Linked DNA regions of Saccharomyces cerevisiae S288C. The protein of the gene in region 3 purifies or fractionates together with the protein of the main gene of each other region. This does not show direct contact. Each region holds a gene or a part of one and is shown on either strand. Other genes may lie near its edges.

Region 1 (5,149 bases), on a different chromosome or scaffold from region 3:
AAATTCTGGGAGAATAAATAAAACTAGTTCGTTATCACATAATATTAGTGCGCCTTCTACTTTAGGTAAAAGAAGGATTTTGTCTATCTTCGAATTTGATTCTGCATCAAACTTTGTTTGCGACACAAGCATATAGTTTCCACGTTCAAGTTCAAAGTAATGTAAAAGATCACCTGTAGTTGTTCCCAAGAATATGTGGTTCTCATACGCCTCACAACATGTGTATATCAAGTCAGATGGTACATTGTCTAATAGGGTAGAGATTGTAAAAGGACCTTCGCTTATTTTCAGTGGCAACCCTTTTTCCTGTTCATCATTCGTGGAGGTTTTTTCATTTAAGCTTGTAATATCTGTATTTATGACATTATCTTCTGCGCTGCTAGGCTGACAGCTTTCTTGTGCTGTGTTTTTATCAGTATGTGGACTGTCTTCGATTGGTCGACTCTCTTCCTGGGAAAATTTATCAGCTCGTACTGTTTCATTTGGGTTAGCATTATGTGTATTCGTCTCTTCACTTTCTGTTGCACGTAGACTATCATCTTCTGTTTTTTTTTTGTCATTTTCTCTTTCGTGAGGTGAGGATTCGCTATCTATATCGAGCTTTCCTTCATTTTCCTTTACTTCTTTTCCTTTGTCATTATTCGTTTTCTTTTTTACCATGGTTCTATAATATTATGGTTGCAACCAAAAAAAGGTAGTCTCCTTGACTGTTATGATAGTTCTGATTCACTAATGTCGTTATAAAATAGTAAGTACATATGAATATTTCCAGTTAAACTTGCCTTTTTTTCCCATCGGAACGGTATCTTCAACAGATATTATGCGATGTAAGGAGTTTTTAGGAGACAATTATATATACCTGCACTTTCAATGAGATCAAGCTTTTTATTATTATTGTACAGATGCTTATATACCAAATATTGTGACTTTATCGTAGAAAATTTATTTTAACAATTTAGCCAAAAGCTGAGAGCCTTTGTTACTTTCATCAGTGGTGATTTTACTCTGAACTCCTCTCAAATCCTTCAAAAATGGTTTCCCTTCTTTTTGATCTTTTAACGTTTCATACAGTGCAACAATTGTAAATGAACTATCAGCGTTATTAATCCATTCTAACAAGTTGGAGGAGTCAATAATTTCATCGTATAACTTTTCAGCAAATGGAACGCCTAAGCCTTGAACATTTTTTAATGGTATGACCTTTTTTTCTTTGTTATTCCATTTACCACCTTGAATTAGTGCCTTTAATAGTCTAGTAGAAAATGCTCTATGTATTGGGTGCTCTTCTTCGGTTATGTCACCCTTAAAAGTAGTTAAAATGTTGTTTAAGACCTGTTGATACTTTTCTTGGTCTTTTTCATTCAGCTGCGCGTACAACTCATCGTTTATTAGAACTTCGGCAATGAACTGACAGCCTAGATTCTCTGTCAATATACTGGAATAATCTTTTGATATAGTGCTTAAAAACATGGGGGCGAATTTTGACAAAAGTTCGTGCCTTCTTTGTAAAGGATCCTTCTTAGAGGTGGCTTTGGACAGTTCAATGTATCTCAATAATTCATTCTTGACGATAGGTGAGAAATACTTACCGTCCAAACCTAATAGTATGTATAACCAAGGCCTTCTACCAAACTTATCAATTATGAATTCTTGCAAATGTTCCTTAACAGTAGGACTGAAAGTCTTGAATACTAAAACTGTATCGTCAACACAGTTCAGAATTGTAATGAAGACAATATTACCGTACTCATTTTTGATCAATTTTTCGGCGTGGTTTTTCAAAGCCTTTAAAATTAACTTTCTTTCCTTGGCGTTAGCTCTAGCAACCAAAGTACAAGCAACGTCTGAACCTTCTGGAGTATGCACCAATTCAGCGAATTGTTCATGAAGCAATTCGATCATTTCAGATATTTCCTTTTCGTTGGCTATTTTCACATATTCTCTCATAGCAGCATGTAGAATTTGAAAGCCGGTGGAACCCTTTTCTACTGATGCGGTAATGGTACCAATCAAGTTTCTGGCGATAATATTCCTTTTTTCAATGCTACTTTCACAAACTTTCTCAATGGTCAAATCTTTGTGGGTTTCTCTAAATACAGCATATTCAGAGCCCCAAAACTCTTTAATCATTTGTTGTCTTTGTTCATGTGTGGCATAAAGAACAAATAAATCTTCAACAACGTAGGCACCCTCACGATGTCTCATTAATTTTCTCAAAGAACCGTGTAATTCATTTATTATAGTTTGCCTTGAACTTCTTGAACCATAATGCAGTAACTTAACCAATAGATACTTACCGTACGCAGATGTGGCTAGAACATAAAATTTTCCCTTTAAAGCATCGACAATTTGTTCACGACGATCTTTGGACGAATACTTGACTAAAGTTTGAACAATACGGGAAGCATCATGCTTTAAGACAAGATCACTGATACAGTCCTTAGATAGCTCCCAGATTTCGTTGGAAAGTTTTTCACGAATCTGTTTTGGTAAAGGTGGGGTCTTCACACGCAATCTTTCCCAGACGGATTTAATTTGTTGCACTTGGGTACCAGATTTTCTTTGCATTTTCCTTTCTTTTAGCAGTTTTCTTTGTTCAGTGTGATTTCCATTTTCACCTCCTTCAGATTTGTCCTTTCCTTCTTTCTCTTCATTCTCATTTTCATGTTCCTCACTGTCATCGGAAATATCTAATTCGTCAGCTTCTTCTTCTGCTTCAGAGTCACTGGTACTTAAATCATCCAAATCATCATCATCTGATGAAGAGGATACAGCATCTTCCTTTTTGGATAGTTCTGATTCTTCATCAGACGAATCAATAGAAATTCTAGGTTTTTTGGCTAATTTCTTTTCTGAATGACTAACTTCTTTAGCAGAACGTTTTCCGTTTGTCTTCTTGGTTAAAGGTGCCATTGTCAGTTAATTTGTTATTCCTGATTGTGCTTTATTTCAGTACTCTATAATAAAACGCTTTCACCTTCGAAATACTTTAGGTAGGCATCTCATCTCATCCCAGCAAAAAAAATTTTCAGTATTTCTCTCAAGGTGAAAAAAAAAAAAGGTCTTCAATGCCGGGTTAGTTAATCTTCTATATATGCATACAACAATTAGTTCGACTTAAATACAATGAACTTTTTTCTATCTTGTAATTTATTTTTATTTATTTTCTACTATGTATTTGAATATTCAATTGCGTCTCCTTCCTTTTACCTCGTGAAAGGACTATATATCCTCTATAATCTCTTGAGTTGGTTCATATTTCAATTCATGAACTCTGGCAACTTGCTGTTTTCTCTTCTTGGCCAAAGCTTTCGAGGCTTTGATGTTGAACCCGTCCTTCAAAATAGTTTGTACCTCTTCTAACTCCAATCCCGATAATTCTGGATAACAGAAGTAGCAGAAAATGGTTGATAAGCACGACAATCCCGCGAAAAAGGCAAATGTACCTGCAGGAGTGATATTCTGTAACATGGTCAAAAATGTGGATGCAATAACCAGTGAACCAGCCCAGTTTGTAGCAGTTGCATATGAAGTCCCAATACCTCTCACGTTTTGGGGGAATAGTTCCGATTGTTGCCATGGAACAGTACCGATACCAAGAGCGTAGAACGCAGCAAATACGATAATAAATACGATGATCACAATACCCCAAGAGGAGAAACCGGAGGAAACCACCACAGCGACAGCGCCATCAAACTTAATACCTAGAAAATGGAAAGCAATAGAGCACACGACTAAAGCCATGGTCATGCCTGGTAATCCAATCAATAATATGGTTCTACGGCCTATTTTGTCAATGGAAAAAAAGGCAACTAAAGTGAAAATAAAATTGGTACCGGACACGATGATTGAAACAGCGGAAGAATTTTTGAAACCGACAGTTTCGAAGATGGTACCAGAGAAATACATCAACGAATTCCAACCGGTAAACTGTTGAATTGCTTGTAAACCACAACCAATGATCAAAGCCCTTAGATTAGATGGTACTGTGTGCAATTCTTTGATGGTATTCCAGACTTTTTCAGGGACATTCTTACCAGGAATAGATTGATTCAAAGTAACAAGTTCTTCCACCTTACGTTCAATGATTTCCTCCGAAGTGTCAGTGTAACTTCTCTTCAACACCTCAGTAGCCCTTGCCAAGTCGCCCTTCATAACGTAGTATCTTGGAGTGTCAGGTAAAAAGCACAGGCATGTGAATTGCACAGCAGTGGGAATTAGTGACAATCCAACAAGAATTCTCCAACCATTGTTGACGTAGTTTAACCCAGCACCGCAACCGTAAGCGACTAATTGACCACCAGTCAACCATAAGGAATTGATGACAGTTAGTCTCCCTCTGATCATTTTGGGAGCAATTTCACTGATGAAAAGTGGCGCGATCAAGGAGCCGATACCGACACCGAAACCCATGATCAGTCTACCAACAGCCATTTGCCAGAATGTGTGTGCGGAGACCTGTAAGATTGCGCCAATGACAAACATCAGATTCGAACCCATTAAACAACGTTTCCTACCAAATATGTCAGCTGCAGTACCGGCGAAAATACTGGTAATCAAAGCTCCCAGAGAGGTAGCCGCAGTGACAATTTCCTTCTCCCCATAAGTAAGTACCTTGTGGTCCAGATCTGTGCCGATCGAGATCAGCGCACTGGATATATAACCAGTGTCGTAACCAAACATGAAACCGGATATGGATGCGACAAAAGTCAGAGTGATGATGAAGGGCGAAAGAGATTGGTTAAAAGTGATCATGACCGACGTGTCATCCTCGTCGTTCACGGGTTTAATTTGAATCCTATCTTCATCATCGCTAGCGGGAGCCCTCTGTATTTCATGTGACTCAAGTGTAATTTTACCTCTCTTTGAAGGTGAGTCATGCTCACTGTTGAACTCTACACTATCAGCGTTGCCAACGGCATCACCAACATTTGATTGCGATGTCTTTGACGTGAGATATGGTATGTGTATTCCCATTTTAACACCCACTGCAGAAACAAAGAAAATGAAAGAGATGTATACAGTAGGACGACCAATAAATCTGAATAGCGCACCAAACTGAAAGAGAAGAATAGAGCAAACACCTGCCAAAGAAAAGCCCAAGTGTGAAAGGTCTTTTCTCAACTATGGCTTGATTCCTTTTATATTT
Region 2 (4,959 bases), on a different chromosome or scaffold from region 3:
TATTATAGCCTTAATCAACAATGGAATCCCAACAATTATCTCAAAATTCACCAATATCTCAGAGACTATATCTGAAACAAACAAAGACGTATAGTCCAAAGCAATATTCAAGGAAACTACAAAGTGAGATTAGCTACGTAGAAATAGGAGAAAAAGTATAAATTTAAAGTTAAATTCAGATCTCAAATTCTCTTAATATTTGAAATAAATCCGCTGCGTGACAAATCCCGTGATGATCTCGGAATATTTATATGTTACCATTTATACTTATGGTAGAATTATACTCACTAATGAATGTACGGTTACTATTTGGAACAAGTGGTCATCAATTGCCATAGTAACATTTTGAATGCTTGCATCGTGCATGAATACATACCGCATATATGTTTAAGTATGAATATACCTGTTAAAGAAAGTAATGAATCTGTATTGAAGAACCGTAGGTTTGACATGATCTGGTCGTTATATATACGCGTAATATGACTAGTCAAACTAAATGTATGACAAGTTCCAGAACTACTATTACATTGATCATAAGTAATAATACACAAATCAGCGTGTGTTTTATACTTCTCTTATATAGTATAAGAAGATCCATATTTAATCTTCATTAACACTACTTCTTAACCTCTAATTACCAACGGGTCAATGTTAGGATAATTGTTGGCATTCCATTGTTATTAAAGGGAATCAAAGTATATTAAAAATTCTTCCCAAGGATGTAATAACCTAAAAAAGGAAGCCCATATTTCTATATAATGTTATTAATATTTTCTTTTTCATATTATTGTCGCCACTCTTTATTCCATTACATTATCAAGTCTTGCATTTCGGCTTCCATTAAATTTGATGATTATTTCTCAGTCTTTGTGCCATCTACTCACACTCAATTTTAATATAGTGTTAATATGAATACTAATCAATGAGCGATCATTGGTTCCATTACAATAACGTTGTGATCGGAACTTATTTTGAAGTTATTCCTGTCGACTGCCTGATGTCAGTATTGAGGCTGTTTGATTATTTCTGAACATAATATCCTTTTCCTGTTACAAGTACATGCTGAACAAGAGATATATATTATGCTTTAAGATGGAGTATAATGGTTTTAGAATATTTTAAATTAAGTATGCATACACAAATAATCTACTTACTCACTATGATGCTACAAGATCATCCATTGGTTAAGAATGTTGAGTGATTCTACGAACAAGGTAACTTTTTTTCCATAATTATAAGTCGTCAAAATTGCCTTGGATAGCTTTGCTGGAAACTTTCTTCCGTTTATTCTGTAAAACGATTTCTTTCCAATCCTCTTTAATACGCTCTTCTTCAGCATTTTCATCGAGCTCTTCTGCTTTCAATTCTTCCTCTATAGCCTTCCTTTTTAAACTCATCTTTTCCTTTCTCTCGAGTTTCCGTTCTTTCGTCAATGTTTTATCTGACCACGCTAAATTCTTCTTCTTCAACTCACTTTTCAGCTTCTTTTTATCATTAATCAGGCTTATATTTTTTAATGTTTCTTGTCTCTCCTTTTCACGTTTTTTGTCCTTGTATTTATATTCATCCATATTAACTGGGGGATCGACCAACCAATTCCCTGGGAAAATCCCTTCTTGTTTTTCGGTGGCTAAGTACTTTGTTATCTCAGGCATTCTAGGCAGGCGGAAAAGACCATACAATTTCGCAATACCAACATAATCTAAAGATTGAAGCCTAAAAATTGAAGTTGCGGAATGATTTGAGTAGTATTTAATAAAGGCAACATATGCTTTAACACCTTTATCAAATCTATCCCTATCTTCTAGTATCCAATTTCTAAAGTCCTCGTAAAAGTTTGTTGTTATGCCCTTTACTTCCAAATCAAGTTCTTCAAGTTCCACATTTTTAACTTGCATGAAAGGAATAAAATCCTCTTCTCTGCCTTCATTAAGAAACGTAATTGCTTTACCCACTCTATTTGCTCTACCAGTTCTACCACATCTATGCATGAACATATCAGTATTGGTAGGGGGATCAAGCTGGATGACGAGATCAACGTCGGGTATGTCAATACCTCTAGCAGCCACATCTGTTGTGAATAAAACAGAATTACTTAGCGAATCAGTAAAAGCTGTTAGAGTTTTTGTCCTTGCCGATGTTTGAAGTTTTCCATGCAAGGAAAATATTTCTACTTCATTCACGAGAATATTCCTCTTTCCCAAATACTGGATAAATGAGTAGAAGTAGGAGACTGACACACATGTTGGAAAATATACAATACATTTCTTGAATTTGTAGTTATTCAAAATGCTAACCAAAAGTTGTAGTTTTTCGGCAGGATTTACGACACAGTAATTTAATTTCAAAGAGGAGGGCGCCTGGTTCTTAGAGTTAACGGTAATCCTGACAGGATTTCTAAGCCCTGTCTTAAAGATATCTGATCCGGCGCTACGCATAGTTGCAGAAAATAGACCCGTCCTTCTTTGTTTAGGCAATAGCCTCAGAATTTTTTCGGTATCCTTAATAAAACTCATATCCAACAATCTGTCTGCTTCATCCATAACTACCATACTGCATGCTGACGTCTTTACTGCTGGCATTTGTAAAAAGTCCAAAACTCTACCAGGTGTTCCAATCAGAATCTGCGGTCTATTCCGCAGAAAATTACTTACATCATCTCTAACTGTGGCTTCATTAGTACCAACCAGGAGCTGACATTTAATAGGGAACAAGTCGGAAGGATAATGTTCCAGAAATGATAGAACGACAGACTCAATTTGGCGTGACAATTCTCTTGTTGGAGCAATAATTAACGAGTGGAAGTGTGCTTTCTTGAATTTTGATGTATTCGCTTCTTCCTTTACAACTTTTTCTAGTACAGGTATAACAAACGCAGCGGTCTTACCTGAGCCTGTTACAGAATCAACTACTACATCCTTGTTGCCAGCAAGCATGGGAATTGTCGATGCTTGGACTGGAGTCATGGTCTCAAAACCCATAACATCGAGTCCTGTCCTTATCCAGGGAAGTAAAGAAAACCCGAGATTATCCCATTCCAATGACTTTGACATTGTTTTTATTGCTGCTGAGCTTTTAATATTATCTTACTACACCTCAAATCAATGGGCTCAGCTCATCTTGAAAAGCTCACTTTGTTTTTCAGTGAAAAATTTTTGAAAGCGAAAAGCCGGCTCAAAATAAAGAATAATATAGTATTCTCGAGGTGCCCACATGCAATCTTTACTGCCCTACTATAACCTCCCTTGAATGAGTAATTTCATTAGAAGGCTAGTTGGGAAAATGAAAGCGATTTCAACAGGTACCAATGCTATTGTTAGTAAGAAGGACTCCATTTACGCAAACTGGTCCAAAGAGCAGCTAATACGAAGGATCACTGAACTAGAAAACGCAAATAAGCCACATTCTGAAAAATTCCAGCACATCGAGGATAACAAAAAGCGCAAAATTTCGCAAGAAGAGGTTACGAGAAGCAAGGCGAAAAAGGCTCCGAAGAAGTTTGACTTTTCTAAACATAATACCAGGTTCATCGCCTTGAGATTTGCCTATTTGGGATGGAATTACAATGGCTTAGCTGTTCAGAAGGAATACACACCGTTGCCTACAGTAGAGGGTACCATTTTGGAGGCCATGAATAAGTGTAAACTTGTTCCCTCGATGGTTTTACAAGACTATAAATTTAGCAGATGTGGCAGAACAGACAAGGGAGTTAGCGCCATGAACCAAGTTATATCGTTAGAAGTCCGTTCCAATTTAACAGATGAGGAACAGCGGGATCCGACCAACGACAGCAGGGAAATACCCTATGTTCACGTTTTAAATCAATTACTACCCGACGATATTCGTATATCAGCTGTCTGCCTCAGACCGCCACCTAACTTTGACGCAAGATTCAGCTGTGTTCACCGGCACTATAAGTACATCTTTAATGGAAAAAACCTTAATATTGAAAAAATGTCTAAAGCCGCATCATATTTTGTTGGAGAGAGAGACTTCAGGAATTTTTGTAAGCTTGATGGCTCAAAACAAATTACCAATTTTAAACGAACAATAATAAGCTCAAAAATTCTTCCCCTTTCTGAAACTTTCTATTGTTTTGATCTCGTTGGTTCAGCATTCCTATGGCACCAAGTTCGTTGCATGATGGCCATTCTTTTCTTAGTTGGTCAATCACTTGAAGTGCCGGAAATTGTCTTGCGTCTGACTGATATTGAGAAAACCCCTCAAAGGCCTGTTTACGAAATGGCAAATGATATACCATTATTGTTATATGATTGTAAATTTCCTGAAATGGATTGGCAAGAACCTACTGTAGATGACTATAAGGCAATAAAATTCACGACAGCTACTGAAGCATTGACGTTACACTACGAACTTAAGGCCGCAGTATGCAATATTTTTAAAGATGTTTTGCCCACAGCAAATACAAACAACTTCTCAAAGACAATTATTAATTTGGGCGATGGAAGAGGTAAAGTAGTCGGTACCTATGTGAAACTAGAGGATAGAAGCGTTATGGAACCTGTCGAAGTTGTTAATGCTAAATACTCCAAGAAAAAGAACAACAAAAATAAGTAAAATAATATATAAACCTGTATAATATAACCTTGAAGACTATATTTCTTTTCATCACGTGCTATAAAAATAATTATAATTTAAATTTTTTAATATAAATATATAAATTAAAAATAGAAAGTAAAAAAAGAAATTAAAGAAAAAATAGTTTTTGTTTTCCGAAGATGTAAAATAGGTTGAAAGTTAGAAATTAGTATTATAATAGCAAAAAAAATTTAAAGTTAGAAATTAGAATTTAAGGCTCTACACACGTTTACGATGATATTGGACGACCGACACGAAAAGACAGTTTTAGGCTTTCTTTTGTCTTGCTCTTGCGTTGAAAGTACGTAATTTCCATTCGATTACTTACTCAACACTTGATATAGAGACCAACTATAAAAT
Region 3 (3,945 bases):
ATCGTGTGTACGTTGAGTGGACAAATGGTTAGTGAAGGGTTCTTAAATTGGACTGTTTCTCCGGCATTGAGAAGATCCGCCACAAGAGCGGTAGCCATCACGCCTTGTTTGATTTTAGTGCTTGTAGCTGGACGTAGCGGCCTCTCTGGTGCACTAAATGCTTCCCAAGTGGTACTTTCTCTCTTGCTGCCTTTTGTTTCTGCACCTTTACTTTACTTCACTTCAAGCAAGAAGATTATGCGTGTACAGCTTAACCGTACCAAAGAACTTTCAAGAACTACAGACAAAAAACCCGTGGCCGACCGAACCGAAGATGATGAGACCATTGAGCTCGAAGAAATGGGCATAGGCAGCAGCTCACAGGAGCGCAGCTTAGTTTCTCCTGCTCCAGAATACAAAGACATGAGCAATGGAATGATCGTCACCGTGCTCGCAATCATAGTATGGTTGATTATCTCCGGACTGAACTTTTATATGTTACTGGGCTTTACTACGGGCAAAGAAGTACACCTCTAATATAACAATTCTTTAGACTAGTATAAGTATACATTTTATCCAAGAATAATAACAGAAAATTCCAATCAAAAAGTTGGTGTTAGGCTATACTGATGGCCGTATCGCTCCATACGAGCCAATCAGGGCCCCGCGCGTTATTTCCGCCGCTTACAGCTTTCTTTGAATCTCCCTATGAAAAGGGACCTAATTGGTCCGGTCAAAGCATTAATAAAGATCAACAATTGCTCTTGCTTATCAAGGTGCCAGATCTCAAGGTTACCTCATTTCTTTACATTTCATCCACATTTTAGCACACTTATTTATTATTACAATTTGAAAAATTGTATCACTTCTGAGACTTAGTAGCGGAGATAAACAGCCGAACAATTGTATTTGACACATAAACTAATAAATATACAACAATGTTATCAAGGGCCATATTCAGAAATCCAGTTATAAATAGAACTTTATTGAGAGCCAGACCTGGTGCTTATCATGCAACTAGATTGACTAAAAATACGTTTATTCAAAGTAGGAAGTATTCTGACGCACATGATGAAGAAACCTTTGAGGAATTCACCGCAAGATACGAAAAGGAGTTTGATGAAGCCTATGATTTGTTTGAAGTGCAAAGAGTGCTCAACAACTGTTTTTCCTATGATTTAGTTCCTGCTCCTGCTGTTATTGAAAAAGCTTTGAGGGCTGCCAGAAGAGTCAATGACTTACCTACCGCAATTAGAGTATTTGAGGCTTTGAAATACAAGGTGGAGAATGAAGACCAATACAAGGCCTACTTGGATGAATTGAAGGATGTCAGACAAGAATTGGGCGTTCCCTTAAAGGAAGAGCTATTTCCAAGCTCTTCTTAATAATAAGGAAAAAGCTACCACACAACGTCTGTAATTTGTTGTCCTTTTTTTATTTGTGGAAAATTCCTCAATTTGAAATAAGATTCGTATTTATTTTGTAAAACGATTTTAGTTTTTATTTTTTTTTTTTCTTCCCTTTTACCTTATTATTTGTTTTACCCTTTATGGATATTCATCCACTCAGAAACTAATATATCAAAATCAACGATAAGATCACAAGAGGTGAAATAAGAAAAGTAAAAGAAAAATATTTAAATTTAACCATTATGATTTCCACTTTGTTTTCTCTACTCTATTACTTGAACAAACTTTATTTTTGGTAATGAGGGCTGGTCACAGATTACCTTTAATATCCTTTGTTAGTAGCTTTTTTGTGTTCTATTTCAGGAAAGAAGAATGGGAAAAATAATAAAACAATAAATAACTATATAAAAAACAAAAACCTAGAATATACCATTAAAGAATTACTATTCTATTCTGTGCTTCACCGTTGCGTCAATAAATGTGAAGTTGATGTCACTTCATACTAAAAAAATTAAAGACAATTTCCTGAAAAAAATTTTTCCACTGGAGCTCATCGCAAATTTTGAAAAGTAACAAAAAGCGTTTGTATACTGCATAAAGAATAGTGTCTGTTTTATAAGAAATATTAGACAGCAGGCAGATAAACCTACGTTCCAGACTATAAAGTATAAAATGGCTAAAAAGAGTAACTCAAAGAAATCTACGCCTGTAAGTACACCAAGCAAAGAAAAGAAGAAGGTTATTGAAAAGAAATCTTCCACAGCCATTCCTAGGGAAAGAGTTATTAAAGCTGTCAACGAGCTTATAAAATTCACTTCCAAGCCACAAGATGAAAATAATGAAGAAGGAAATAACGGTAAGAAAAACCTATTGGAAGATGATGAAGAAGAATTGAAGAAAGATCTGCAATTAATCGTAGTAAATAATAAATCATTCACCGGTACTTCCAAATCATTCAAATTGAAATTACTAAATGTCAAACATTCGTTTTACAAGCCTTGGAAAGAAGCCAGTGCAACAGCGGTTAAGGATTTCAAAGTTTTATTAATTTTGAAGGATTCTGATATTAAGAAAGTTTCAGAAGATGATTTATTTGATCAATTAGATTCAGAAGGAATCAAGGTTGATGAAATCATTTGCGGGAAAGACTTAAAGACCGTTTACAAGGCATATGAGGCTAGAAACGCTTTTATATCTCAGTTTTCTTTGATTTTGGCTGACGACAGTATAGTTACATCTTTGCCAAAACTTATGGGAGGCAAAGCCTACAACAAAGTAGAAACTACTCCTATATCAATTAGAACACATGCAAATAAGGAATTTTCCTTGACCACTTTGACGAACAATATCAAAAAGGTTTACATGAATCAGTTGCCCGTTAAACTTCCAAGAGGTACCACGTTGAATGTCCATTTGGGTAATTTAGAATGGTTAAGGCCAGAAGAGTTTGTAGATAACGTTGAATTAATTTCTGAACAGTTAATCAAAGCATACCAAATCAGATCCATTTTTATCAAGACCAATAGGTCGCCCGTATTGCCATTATACTATAACCAGGACGTTCTTGATGAACTTGAAGCTAAAAAGGACAAAATCGAAGAAACCCACGAAGATGACATGGTCACCATTGATGGTGTACAAGTTCATTTGTCTACCTTCAACAAGGGTTTGATGGAAATCGCCAATCCTTCCGAATTGGGTTCAATTTTCTCTAAACAAATTAACAATGCAAAAAAGAGATCTTCTAGCGAGCTTGAAAAAGAATCTAGCGAGTCAGAAGCTGTCAAGAAGGCTAAAAGTTAATTTGTTTCCTCCTTATCTATCTTTTCTCTCATTTTTTTCTTGTGAAGAAAAAAATTTGAATTTCATAGAGTGCGGTGCATATGTATATATCTATATATGTTTGAAGTGTATATTAAAAATAAAGTCATTATTTGAATATTGGTTTCTCGGTCTAAGAGCTTATACGTTTTAGACTGATCTGTTGTACTATCCGCTTCAAATAAATAGATCATTGAAAGTGACGGGGATAACAGCATTTTACCTTTAAAAGACGTTCTCATAATACATTTTAGGATTAATACATATGCTTTTTTTTTATTCGAAATCTGGGGATTCTATACAGAGTTGTAAGTTAGGCAAACTAGAATTTGGTAATAATATTTTATTCTTGGGGCGACATATGGAGATACTTTATTTCCTTTTCTTAATTATTAACGTATACCTATAAATTAACAAAGTATCTAAACAAAATACATAAGTGTACTCAAACTGAGTAGAATCGTCGATTAAACTTCCTTCTCCTTTTAAAAATTAAAAACAGCAAATAGTTAGATGAATATATTAAAGACTATTCGTTTCATTTCCCAGAGCAGCATGACTTCTTGGTTTCTTCAGACTTGTTACCGCAGGGGCATTTGTCGTCGCTGTTACACCCCGTTGGGCAGCTACATGATTTTTGGCATTGTTCATTATTTTTGCAGCTACCACATTGGCATTGGCACTCATGACCTTCATTTTGGAAGTTAATTAATTCGCTGAACATTTTATGTGATGA
Region 4 (5,205 bases), on a different chromosome or scaffold from region 3:
GTTTCAACTATTCCGGTAAGGATATGTTATATTCAGGTATAACAGGTGAGTGTTTACAGGCTTACATCTTTTTTGGCCCCATTTACTATCAAAAGTTAAAGCATATGGTCTTAGATAAGATGCATGCAAGAGCTCGTGGTCCAAGGGCTGTTTTGACACGTCAACCAACTGAGGGTAGATCTAGAGATGGTGGTCTGAGGTTGGGTGAGATGGAGAGGGATTGTGTAATCGCGTATGGTGCTTCACAATTGCTGTTAGAAAGGTTGATGATTAGTTCAGATGCTTTTGAAGTTGATGTCTGCGATAAATGTGGATTAATGGGCTATAGTGGTTGGTGTACTACCTGCAAAAGTGCTGAGAATATTATTAAGATGACTATTCCATATGCAGCAAAACTGTTATTCCAGGAATTATTATCCATGAACATAGCCCCAAGATTAAGATTGGAAGATATCTTCCAGCAGTAAGAAATCATATATCTTGTACTAAATTTTGCGTTATGTTAGCAATCATATCTATTTCGTGAGGAACTTTAAGAGAGTTGAACGATTTCGAAAATTATATAACAGTAAACCGTACTTCTTTCATTTTTGTACCTTGCTTTACATCATTACTTTTTATAAGATCCATCGAACGTTTGACGTGTTTTCTATCCATAAACCGGCCAAAATATAAAAATATCCAGCTGACAAGAGAAAGCTTGGAGTGCTCACATGTTAGCACATGTGAGCACAATGATATATACGCTTTAAAAAAGACTTTTCTTTATTTTACACATTTATAGACTTAACTATTGAATTCAAGACAAAAAATCAAATCTTGCTGAGTTGTTAAGCGTCTGACATTTCAACATCTTCGTTGTCATCATCACTTTCCAGACTGTTTAATAATTTTGCTTCTTCTGTTTCTCTTTCTTTGTCTTGTTCTTCCATACTTTCTCTCATTAATCTGGCCTTTTCTTCCTTAACTTCACGTTGTACTGCAACATAAGAACCTAAAGGTGTTTTATTCCAAGCTACATCATTCAAAAATCTTGAAACTTCAGATTTGTTTGTTGGCCCAAATTCAACATCTGATCTCTTTTCTTGGATGAATGTGCTGTTTTGGTTCAATTTTTCTACAACAGTTGATAAACGTTTGTTAAGTTTGACATTAGTTGAAGTCTTGATGTAACGGCGTAAAGAGATAATAACCGGTGTTACAAGTTCAGGAAATGCAATGTTTTTACAGTACAGAGCAAAATAATCGCCCAATAAGTCCACAAACTGTTCTGACAAACCCTCTTGGTATATTTTTGTATTCAGATAAGCTTGCGTACATTTGATGTTGTGCTCAAAATCGAAAGCAGCCAAGTTAGGGCTCTTTTTGGGTGCCTTAGTGAAAGCCGTTGAGGTTAAAATTTCAGAAAGTAAAGGATATATTGGAATAAAAACACCACTATTTTGAGAAAGTCTAATAAGTGATTTAATCAAATAAAATCTTAATGGGAAGAATTGTGGTGTTGGGATTAATCTGATTACACCCAAAGTAACCTGAACCAATGGGTAAATTAATTGTCGTAAAGGAGATTCACTGCCATTTTCCTTTTCTGGTTGACAAGCAAACGATAGTACACGAGACCAGAAATCCAAGGAGTGACAGAATTGCCAGTTGTATACAATCTTGTAAGCTTCTGCGGAATTAATTTTACTGGATTTTTTAGTTGTCGCGTTCATTGTATTTCTTAAATGAATTGCCAATTGCCTAATATACTCAAATCCAACTTGGTAACCTAGAACTTCATCGATACCGAACAATTCAGCTGCCGAATTTTTTTGAAAATTAATCAGTGGCATAGAACGCATATTCGTTTTACGACAACTTTTGATAAAAGTGGAGTACGTTGTTTTTAAGGTTGTTTCTAGCATAGACTTCTTGAACTCTTTGGTGGTATTGATCAAAAAGGCAAAAGAAGCAATCTGGGTTTCTAATTCTCTCGTTGTAGACCATACTCCAACAATTGATTTAATAAGCTCCTTTAAGATCCTTCTGTATGATAAAAGATAAGGCATCAATTCGTTGACAGAATGAAGAACTAATGCTGCTGTTTCCGTATTAGTAATATCATTCAATAAAATCAACAAAGAGCCAGCATGCGACTTGACAATGGACGAGACCCTGGAGACGTTACCTCCATTTGGTAAGGTCCTTGCGCCTTTTACAATCTTGTATGGGGCCATCTTTTGAATCGCTTGTGGTACATCTTTCAAGACCATGAACATCAATTCGTGGAATGCTTTCTCATCAGTGATAGCATATTTATAGTCTTCGATGTTTTCTTCCTTGTTCAAATTTACAGCAACCTTGAAAGCACTGATTATGTTCCTTAGTAATTTTAAGCTTGGAGAATCATGAAGTTGTTTTTTCCATTTCCTAACCAATTTCAAAGAAAGCTCAATTTTTTCCTTTTCCAGCTCCATTTGTTCAGATTTTTCTTCAATATTACTGTTTCTTTCAGCATCTTCACCTTCATCTTGACTATCAATTCCATCCAATGGATTGGTACCTGCGAAGTCCAATAAATCTTTATCATTTTCCTCCAAATACTTATAAAATTCGGGATCCTTTTCGGCCAACTTTGCCATGCTTTGTCCCATGTCTTCCTCCTCTTCGGAAGAGGAGGAATCTTCATCAGATTGCTCTTTCGTAGTTTTTTTCTTCAATTTTTTATTCTCTTTTGGAATTTCGATGCCCTTTTCAAAAAAAGTTTCGACAGACATGTCCTTAAAAACCTCTTCCTTTGCAGATTTTTTCAACTGCTGTTGTTCCCTAGTACCAGCAGCATCGGCCTTTTCCTGATCAGTTTTGTTGCCACGACGGCCTTGGATTCTCTTCTTTTGGATCTTTTCCTTTCTTCTTTGGTCTAGAGTATGCTTCAAATGCTTCGATTGAAACTTCTTGGTCGATTTAGAAACTTTACCCATCTCCACTTATTCTATTGTTGACCTTCTCTATCTCTCTTACAATTCAAAAATTAGTATAAATGAATTTACCCATGTACAAGTATTCTGTTTCTCTATTTTCTCTGTAAATATCATGCTCATCTCATCGGAAGAAAAAATTCAGAAAATTTTTCAAAACTCGTCGAAGATGATAACTACTATTTGATGTTATGGGTCAAGATACATTTAACAGAGCAATATTAACGAAGGACCTTCCTAGTAACACGTCTAATTACTTTGAACAATTCAATATGCGGGAATGTTGAATCTGTGTCATGCTCTTCGAGGCGTACGTCAGTTTTCCTGTTCTGTGATTGTGAAAGTGAAATGTGCGTCATGTTCCATAAAACTACAGGATCAGGATCCTAGTAAACCAGGATATTATACGAAGCCAAAAAGTCTACCCGACTCAAAACTAAATCCTGACCTCCAAGATCTGAAGTATTTGCTATTCAGTCAAGACATACAGCTCTCGAAACAGGCAACTCAAAATGATCCTGACCTCAAAACCAAAAGAGATTTACTATTGAGAGTGATTTGCAAAAGGTGCAGTAATGCCCTTCATCATAACAATTATAACCCGGAAGAGTTTCCCGAAAGCACATTAAATGATATTCTGAACTACGTCCCCAGAGGCTCAAATGTTATGCATATTGTCCCCTTTGTAGAATTTCCCTTACATTTAGACCCCAATGTTTTGAAACGAAATGATTTAGATACTACATTAGTGTTAACGAAAAGCGATCAAGTTTTTAAAGATAAAAATGCTGTCAGCAAAAAGGTTCCTATATTCATGAAGCAATTTTTAAAGAACACTTTAAGAATTGACTCAAATAAAACATTCGCCATATCTGCGCTGAAAAACTGGAACATATCCATGTTTTACAACTACTTTAAAAACTACACATATTTGCTAGGCAACCCTAATGTTGGTAAATCAACTTTGATCAATACTCTACTACAGAAATATCTTGGATATAAGGTTAAAATTGATTCTACTGGGAAAATTAACTCCCCCTCTGAAGAAGTGATGCAAGAAGCTTTTACGAACCCGAAGAATTTTTTCAAGATTCAAGCTGCTGGTGTATCACATATTCCCAATTTAACTAGATCCGTACAAGCCTACCAAGTTGGAGGTAAAATACTTTTTGATCTTCCAGGCTATTCAACTTCCACCTCCAGATTACGCCTAGAAGAACTAATCGACGAGCGTTGGCTTCAAAGGCTGCGAAAAACCGATTTATTCAATCGGAAGCATATAAAACAGAAGACTTATGAGTCTATGAAGGGCACATCACAGGGAGGCTGTTATACCGTGGGAGGGATTTTCTACCTGGTACCTCCGAAAGGATCCATAAATCAGATTGTGAAATACATACCAGGACCATCAAAAACATTCAAGAACATTGAAAAAGGTATTGATGTATTCAACTCGTGCAATTCATCATCTGGCACACATCCGTTATCACGGTATTGTGGAATTAAAAGCGTTATATGCGAAAAAAGCCAGTACAAAAGGTACGCAATACCTCCATTTATTGGAAGTATAGAGATCGTTCTGAAAGATATAGGATATATTTTATTAAGGACAACTGGGAGGTATGAGTTCAAAGGACTACATGAGATATGGATACCTAGGGGTATCCAAGTAGGTATAAGGGAACCGCTAGAAAACTTGATTGAGTCTGGCTACCAGCGTTACATTGAAACAAATGGTAAAGAGTCAAGCTGTCCCAGAGATAGACCGATCATCAGTTCCCTGTATGAGATGGCCCCGGATGAAGCTGATACTTTGAACGCAGTGAAGAAGTCGTATTTAGAAAAAACCGAGAAAGATTTATCTGCTAGAAGATTTGTCGACGATGATCCTTATGATTTGGTTCAACACCTAGAAAAAAAAAAGAATCCCTATTGGTACTACCAATGGTAAGACTCGCTGTTCACTTGGTTGCACCAATAAGTAGTAACGCACATGTAAATATGAATGTAAGTAAACTAAAAAGAAAGTTGGGAACAAAGTATATTCAAAAACGAATATACAGGAAATAAGCAATAGAAAGTATTATGAATTATACTGTTGATGTTTATTCTATCTACAAAACACAAATAAAGTAGAGTATAAGGCGAGTCAATAAAAAGGCCTCAACTCAAAAAAGGGAGAGAAAATGTAGGAAGGAAATGAATACTATTATACAATGGTACTGTGAACAGTAAGAATATTTTC

What was found.
Region 1: the proteins of CIC1 (region 3) and PUF6 purify together in Saccharomyces cerevisiae (affinity purification with mass spectrometry; 6 studies listed by BioGRID, with this or other methods). This does not show direct contact.
Region 2: the proteins of CIC1 (region 3) and SPB4 purify together in Saccharomyces cerevisiae (affinity purification with mass spectrometry; 7 studies listed by BioGRID). This does not show direct contact.
Region 4: the proteins of CIC1 (region 3) and NOC2 purify together in Saccharomyces cerevisiae (affinity purification with mass spectrometry; 8 studies listed by BioGRID, with this or other methods). This does not show direct contact.

The regions. Positions count from the first base shown.
Region 1 is NC_001136.10:1,440,491-1,445,639, forward strand, and holds PUF6 (Puf6p), read right to left. Parts: upstream 2,914-5,149; coding exon 943-2,913; downstream 1-942. Other genes in the region: CORVET complex subunit VPS3, read right to left, coding at 1-660; myo-inositol transporter ITR1, read right to left, coding at 3,223-4,977. UniProt on the Saccharomyces cerevisiae protein: RNA-binding protein involved in post-transcriptional regulation. Component of the ASH1 mRNP which transports the ASH1 mRNA to the distal tip of the bud, where the ASH1 protein is translated and targeted to the daughter cell nucleus.
Region 2 is NC_001138.5:143,882-148,840, forward strand, and holds SPB4 (ATP-dependent RNA helicase SPB4), read right to left. Parts: upstream 3,054-4,959; coding exon 1,233-3,053; downstream 1-1,232. Other genes in the region: pseudouridine synthase DEG1, read left to right, coding at 3,250-4,578. UniProt on the Saccharomyces cerevisiae protein: ATP-binding RNA helicase involved in the biogenesis of 60S ribosomal subunits. Binds 90S pre-ribosomal particles and dissociates from pre-60S ribosomal particles after processing of 27SB pre-rRNA.
Region 3 is NC_001140.6:208,788-212,732, forward strand, and holds CIC1 (Cic1p), read left to right. Parts: upstream 1-2,060; coding exon 2,061-3,191; downstream 3,192-3,945. Other genes in the region: divalent metal ion transporter SMF2, read left to right, coding at 1-516; YHR050W-A (uncharacterized protein), read left to right, coding at 688-858; COX6 (cytochrome c oxidase subunit VI), read left to right, coding at 918-1,364; YHR052C-B (uncharacterized protein), read right to left, coding at 3,732-3,905; metallothionein CUP1-1, read right to left, coding at 3,748-3,933. UniProt on the Saccharomyces cerevisiae protein: An adapter protein that specifically links the 26S proteasome to its substrate CDC4 which is one of the substrate recognition subunits of the SCF E3 ubiquitin ligase complex. Required for turnover of cell cycle regulatory proteins CDC4 and GRR1.
Region 4 is NC_001147.6:725,270-730,474, reverse strand, and holds NOC2 (mRNA-binding ribosome synthesis protein NOC2), read right to left. Parts: upstream 2,964-5,205; coding exon 831-2,963; downstream 1-830. Other genes in the region: DNA-directed RNA polymerase III core subunit RET1, read left to right, coding at 1-467; GEP3 (Gep3p), read left to right, coding at 3,241-4,911. UniProt on the Saccharomyces cerevisiae protein: Involved in the intranuclear transport of ribosomal precursors.